Drosophila melanogaster: one gene and its partner. Changing the gene in region 1 together with any one later gene gives a genetic interaction. Each region holds a gene or a part of one and is shown on either strand. Other genes may lie near its edges.

What was found.
Region 2: of sds22 (region 1) and flw, changing one suppresses a phenotype caused by changing the other (phenotypic suppression), as found in Drosophila melanogaster (one study listed by BioGRID).

What each region holds. Positions count from the first base shown.
Region 1 is NT_033777.3:17,389,840-17,393,702, reverse strand, and holds sds22 (sds22), read right to left. Parts: upstream 2,110-3,863; 5' UTR 1,996-2,109; intron 1,947-1,995; exon of another isoform or gene 1,923-1,946; 5' UTR 1,775-1,922; coding exon 794-1,774; 3' UTR 683-793; downstream 1-682. Other genes in the region: CREG (cellular repressor of E1A-stimulated genes), read left to right, coding at 1-30, 103-212; Brf RNA polymerase III subunit, read left to right, coding at 2,541-2,613, 2,675-3,043, 3,103-3,207.
Region 2 is NC_004354.4:10,384,149-10,387,748, reverse strand, and holds the start of flw (flapwing), read right to left. Parts: upstream 1,790-3,600; 5' UTR 1,238-1,789; coding exon 1,186-1,237; intron 1-1,185. Other genes in the region: Psf3 (partner of Sld five 3), read left to right, coding at 2,696-2,798, 2,867-3,261, 3,323-3,463. UniProt on the Drosophila melanogaster protein: Required for cell adhesion in non-muscle tissues and in maintenance of muscle attachment. Vital for larval development.

The sequences.
Region 1 (3,863 bases):
GTCATCCAGCTGCCATCAATTGGGTAAAAGGTTGGTGAAAGCGAACCTCATTAAGAGCTCGATATGTATGTACTAATAATAAATACGTTGTTTCTTTTACAGCTCACAATTTCTACCTTTGCGAACTGGAAATTAGCAATATCTTTGTTCTGGACTTCTATGGAGGTCCTCATAAAGTGAGCGCCTCTGACTATTACGCTGTTTCGAATTGATGAACTCCTCCAAAAGCAATCCAACTGACGCCTCATATACTTTGTCAAAAAATGAAATGATAAGCATATTTGCACAACATGTCTGCCACAAAGGGAAAGAATGAAGACAAAGGCCTTTATGAAAGCCACTTATCAGTTGAGCTCTGTGATTTCAATCGATAGAACAATAACTTTGATATAAATAAAAATACATTCCGTTGAATGTACTCTGACATACTGAAATGTATTGTTTTGGTTTAAGAGAAACCAGAATTGTTTAACTAAAATGTTTTCATCTTTTTAGATTCAATTTACATTATTTATGTGTATATATAAAATACTTTTTAGTTTTATATGTTAGGCGGTAGCCTAGATGGATAATTTATCTGACTCATTAGGTAAACTTCACGCTTTGAGTAACTTATCCAAATATACCTTCTTCTGAAAGCAAACTAAATCACTGCACCCACCAATTCGTAGATAGAACCATTAGTGGTTAATTTGTATGTATATTTTAAACGCAGTTTTTCAAAGTTAATCGATATAAATGTAGTGGCGCAACGCCGTGGATTAGTCTTTCAAGGGGTTTACAGTGGTTCCATCTAGGTACCGGGCACCTTGCACAGGGTGGCATCAATCTTCTGCAGCTGCGGCAGTATGTCGCGCAGTTTGGAGCGGTAGCGAACATCCTTGGCCAGCGGATTGTACTCCAGGTAGATGGTCTGCAGCGCCTTGTTCACCTTCAACAGCTCAATGTCCTTCCAGTCATCGACTCCGTTGTGGTTCAGCCACAGCTCCTCGAGCAGTTCCAGCTTTTCCAGATTGGCAATGCCCTTCAACCGGTTCTTGGCCAAGTCGAGGGTCTCCAATTTGGTGTTCTCCGAGAGGTTTTCAATGGTTTCCACTCCGTTTTCCGAAACGTAGAGTTCGCGGAGGTTGGCAAGCTTTTCAAGGTTCTCGATTTTTACAATGCGATTGGCCTGTAGACTGAGTATCTCCAAATTGACCAATGTGTCCAAGTTCTCGATCTTTGCTATCTTATTTTTGCCCAGGAAGAGCTGTCGTAGATTCACGAGCATTTCGATGTTTTCGATCTTCTTCAGTTTGTTATCCCCCAGCTCTAGCATGGTCAGATTGGTGAGCATGTCCAGGTTCTCGATTTGGGTTATCCGGTTCGACACAAAGTAGACCTTCTCCAGCTTGACCAGCTTGTCAAGGTTCTCTATCTTCGTCAGACGATTGAAGCTAATGTCCAGCACCTCCAGGTGGGGCAAGTCGTCCAAATTCTCAATCTTGGTGATCTGGTTGTCATACAGCTCCAGCTCAATCAGTGTTTTCAGGCTGGACAAGTTCTCGATTTTCTTGATCAGATTCCAGCGCAGAAACAGGCGCTCGATTCGAGTCAGCGGCTCGAAGTTCTCCAGCTTCTCGATCCGGCGATGATTCAGATCAAGCTCGTAGCAGTCCGGATCGATTGTGATTATATCCTCAATGGAAGCCACATCCTCGGCGGGAATCACCTGGATTCCGGACACAGTTTTCGCGGCTTCTGGTTCGTTCATCGCACGATCAGCATCGCCCATGACTGATATATTTTGACCGGCTTTTCTTTTTTTTTAATTCAAGTTGACTTTCGAAAATTGAACGCTGACTTGACTTGTTGTTTATTCCGCTGCTCAGGGTGGAACAAAGTGGGGTGACTTTCTTTAAATATGACGTCAAAGCTTGACACTGTTACAAAAGCAAGAACACACGGTAAATATAAATATGTAAATTTAAAATAAATATGTATTAAAATATTTACTTAATATTTATAAGTTAAGTCCAAGATGACTGTATACTCCTTTTGGTCCAACTTGTTCAATATGTCAACAAAATACTTAGTCACCTTACCGGCACTTTAACACTATTTCTACTAGAGATGTGCACCTAAGAACACGATGCTAAACCTGTATTATTATATATTCCAATGTAAATGAAAAACAAATATTGATTGATAATTTGCCAAATAAACTAGAACATAATTTTTGGAACCAGCTTTACGTAATTTTTACAATTTTAATATCTCTTTTAAGTTTTTCAAGCAGTTGTGCCAATGTCGTTCTTGATTGAGAAATGCGCATCTCTAGCATTTCTTCTTCTATCATCAGTGTTAAGCAACGCCGGCGGGGTTCAATCAGATGTTTTCCAAGCGTGTTGATTCAATTGGCAACAAATTGCAAATTGTTTAAAAAAGACTCGAAAATGGCTTTCAAATGACAGCAAACAAGTAGTTTAAACTGTCAAAACAACGGATAAAAACGAAGCGTTGCAGGTGGCAGTGTTTATTAAAGCAAAGAACAAACAATCATGTCTACGGGCCTAAAATGTCGCAATTGCGGATCCAACGAGATCGAGGAAGACAATGCTCGCGGAGATCGAGGTATAATGACATCCAAGGACCCATATCCATGACACTAACGACGTTCACCCATTCACTGTAGTTTGCATGAACTGCGGCTCGGTATTGGAGGATTCCCTCATTGTTTCCGAAGTGCAGTTCGAGGAAGTTGGCCATGGAGCAGCCGCAATTGGCCAGTTTGTGTCCGCCGAGTCGTCGGGCGGTGCCACCAACTATGGCTACGGCAAGTTTCAGGTGGGATCGGGCACCGAATCCCGCGAGGTGACCATCAAAAAGGCCAAGAAGGACATCACACTACTCTGCCAGCAGCTGCAGCTATCCCAGCACTATGCAGATACTGCTCTGAATTTCTTCAAGATGGCATTGGGTAGGCATCTGACCCGCGGTAGGAAGAGCACCCACATCTACGCCGCTTGCGTGTACATGACCTGCAGGACAGAGGGCACCTCCCGTGAGTAGTGCATTCATTTTGCCTAAAGAGTAGCTTATTGACTGCTCATATCTTCACAGATCTCCTCATCGACATCAGCGACGTACAGCAAATCTGTTCCTATGAGCTTGGTCGTACCTACTTAAAGTTATCGCATGCCCTTTGTATCAACATACCTTCTCTGGGTGAGTGAACGTTGTGAATACTAAACTATACACCTAAATCCCAATCCACAGTCAAGTCAAGCCATAGCTCCACTCTTAATTTTTGTTTTTTTAAAAATATTTTGTTGGGTTTGTTAGATTTGCTTGCTTTCCTTTTATCAGGTATTTAACAATACTCTACTCGTTCCTGTTTTCTTTATGCACTACTTACGTGATGTCAAAATATCCAAAATCTTCAACTCTGAGAAAGTAAATTCGCAAAAATCTAATAATGTATTTTGTTTGATTAAAGTACATAATGGTAATAGATTCATAATCAATACAGGATAACATTTTATATAGATATATGTATATAAAAACCATAATTGTCTTATCAAAAGCAAAAAATCAGTACAATTTCCAAAGAAATCCGAAATACAAACGTAAAACTGATTGTTGCGCTCAGCAGGCTATAATAATGCACAGGAGAAGTACGGGGCTTAGTATCAGTAGAAAGGCATATTGTGTATGTATGAGAGATATAATGGAACAACTACGAAATAGATATAATGCGTACTACAAGATTAATATTTGAATATATATGTAGGGGGGATTTTGTGCGCATCTCGTACAAGATCCCTTGATTTCATTTTTGTTTGCTATTTCGTTAACTGGTTAACTTGGGTTTCAAATTCGTC
Region 2 (3,600 bases), on another chromosome or scaffold:
AAAGACAGAATCGGAGGAAGAAAAGCGAAACTCATTGCGGAAATGGACAAAAACCGAAAATCGCAATGTTCAAATGCAATTTCCCCGTGGCGTCGGTCAGAGCTAAAGCCAAATGGTGGCGGCGGCCCGCCCCCCGGAAAAGCGGAAAAGCCCATCCCGTCCCATGCCGTATCTTCGACATTGGCTGACACTTGCAAAACGAGACAAGCACTAAGCGGCTTAAGCAACCCTCGCAGATGTTGGGTTTTCACCAGGGCAAAGGCATATCGCATTCGAAACCTAGAAGAGGTTGCAAAAATGTAAACTATTTAGCGCTTTTACGCTTTGCAGGAAGGTTGCATGATGACGACGATGACACAGCCCCCACCACCCATTCTAAGCCACATACAGTGGATATCGGCTATAGCGGTCGATACCCAGTAAAAATTATATTGATATTGATCGCTGGATAAAAATATCTTCTTGGGGGCTAGGAAATATAGGATATATCGGTCGTAGATTTCTCAACCGTCTTTAGCGATAGTTGCGTGACACGAACAGCGATCCCACTCCAACGGGCAGTGGGGTTACTTGCGACAAAGCTCCTTATCGAGTAACTCATGTGATTCCGTTCCATTCCTTCGTCGGCGATTTCATAGCTACACATTCTGTTTGAATCACGCCCGTGTTTATCAGCTCGATGACGTCATTGCCAATATAGGCGAAACAAGAAAAAACACAGCTAATAAACCAAAAATCATTTGGGAGACATTAGCGCAGGACAGAGATGGCGTGCTTAACAGCGCGATCACTGTTAGTATTATGTAAACGCTAATGAGCGTAGCGTAGATGCTGTCGCTGTTGTTGTTGTTGTTTTTATGGTTTTTGCTGTTTTTCAAGAGGAGCAATGAAAATCAATTAAAACTAATTGATTCAAGAGTCAAATTCAAACGGTTGCAGCGGCAGCAGCGGTGGCGGCGGCGGCGGTAGAGAGAGGGGCTGTCGCAACAACAAAAAGAAAACCTACTACCATTTAAGCGAACAATGTGCAATAATTAGAAAATGCAATCGCACACACACACACACGCAGATAAACTGTGTAATAAATTAAAATGGGGACAGTGGCGTGGGAGGGGCGTAGAGGGTTTGGGGGGGAGGTTTTGGGAAAGTAGGATTGAAAGAGGGGGAAATTTCGCATCTACTTACTCTCCAGCAGCCGCTGTATCAAGCTGTCCACATTCAGATCGAAGTCGCCCATTTTTCAGCAGCTAAATTGTTCTTCTATTGGCCGCGTTTTGTTGTTGTGGCCAGCTGTTCCAGAATTCCGATTGGAATTTTTGGCGCAACAACTACACGCACGCACACACAAGCACACACACACGCACAGCGACGCCCGTTAGCTTATAAACTTGTATTGTATGCTATTGTAAACAATAAACTTTGTTTAATTCAAATAGTCGTTATATTCTTTTCTCTTTTTTGGTCGTTTTCTTACTTGCCGCAAAAGGCAATTTCACTTTATGCTCTCTTTTTTTCTTATTGAGATTTTGTACGGTGGGCCGCTGATGTTCACTGATGTTGCACGAGGGGCAAGAACAGAAAAAAAAATATATAGACGCACGGCTGATCGACTTTCGGGATCGCAAATCGATCAAGGAATATATAAAATATATATATCTATATAGATGTGTTAGATCTCTGCAGGGGGAGAGGAGCTGAGAAATCGGCTTAACTGAGAATTTATAAACCAGCGTAATCTTTTCTCCGCCAATAACAAAACTCGTCGGACAGCTAGCTGAGTATGACCGTTTGCCGGAAGGCTGAAAAAGTTTTTGGTGGCGGCGGCTTTACAGTTCGACTTTATCGATAGTCCGATGGGCAACGAAGCCAGCCAGTGCTCAGCAACGCGGGAGTTAACTGTCAAAGTCCTTTTTCGCACTTCAACGCTCGTGCCTTCAAACTTCTTACTGTGAACTCAAATCTCGACCGAACAAGTTGTGTGCTCCCTATGATTTCGTTATTAACTGATATTAACTACACACACATTTCTCTAATCCTTGCACACACATAGCTAAATCGAAATGGCTCTTTCGACCATCTGTCCGTTCCTCGTCGCCAACAAGAAAAACTCGAAGCACGCGGCTTTGCTATTTTTGATCTCAAGTGGATTGATGATTTTTAATATGGGCGACTTTATCGACGACTTGATGATCATACGGCTAGATTAAGATCAATTGTTCGAAATTGAAGTCAAAATAGTCATTGCCGGGAACGAAACCTTTATTTTTATTTGTTTTTGAAAGATGCAGATAAGCCTAAGAACTTGCGGAAGAAGTAACCATCTAATTGCAATCGTATCGAATTACTATTACTAAGCTGAGTTCACATGTTCCACATCATTTACAACTTTGAGTAATTATACCCTGACTAGTAATTTTATGTATAAAAAAATGTCAAGTGCAGGCTGCAATTTAAAATTCGCGCTGAAATAAGAGTAATTTTCCGGAAAAACTATTTACATATAATACATATAAATGCTTCGATATATATAGTACATAAAACCTATCGAGTGCCTCGGCATCCAGGCAAACAGCTGTTTCTGCCTCGATAGACCCCGGCAAAATGCATCTAATATCGATAGGCGATAGGTCGCGCACTTAAGAAATTGAATTTACCTAAAGTAAACACCAAACGAATCATAAAGCTGGGCCGCGCAATGAACGGAATGAACTATTTTCCGAACTATTACTCCATCGAGGACATATTCGTGACCCAGGAGAAGGTGGAATGTCGGGTGAACACCAAGCTGCAGCGGATGGGTAAGTGATTGGCTTGGACGGACACGCACATTCTGGCCAGTAATCCGACAATATTGAGTTGCTTGCAGGATTCCTGGACTCCGGCGCGGAATCGGATGACCTGGAGCCCGGCAGGACGGTCAATCTGCCGTTGTGGTACATCAAGGAGCTGAAGGTAAACAATGCCTACTTCACCGTCGCCGTGCCAGATATCTATCGCAATGTGCATAAGGCCGTCTGCGAGGCGGAGACCACGCACATCGAGCTGGGACGCCTGCACCCGTACTTCTACGAGTTCGGTCGCTATCTGACGCCCTACGATCGCAACCATGTCATCGGCCGCATCATCTTCGAAACGCTGCGCCAGAGGGTACGTCATCTCCTGGACATCTCGAAGAGCGACGGACAGGCAGCCAAGGCGGAGCATCGACTGGATAACATCGAGGCCAAGCTGCACGAGGCTGGAGTGCGCACCAACAGTCAGGTGGGTGGCTGTACTACCAGTCAAGTGGGCACGGAGTGTTATATTAATCACATAATTTCAGTACATCGAATGGCTGCAGATGACGGGCAACAAGATTCGCACCTCGGAGCTGGTCGAGGAGCACCAAAAGAAGCGGCGACGTGCGGATCGCAGCGATGACGAGGGCGATGCTCTGCCCAACAGCAAGCGGGCCACCTTGTAACAAGCAGAGTAAAACAACAAAAACAGACCACTGATGTACTGTGGAACTGTAGCAACTTTATTTCGTCCATTCGTTCGGTGGCCATAGGGCAGCCTGACCTCTCAAAAATACACTTTTCATCTACTCTATGCACACGG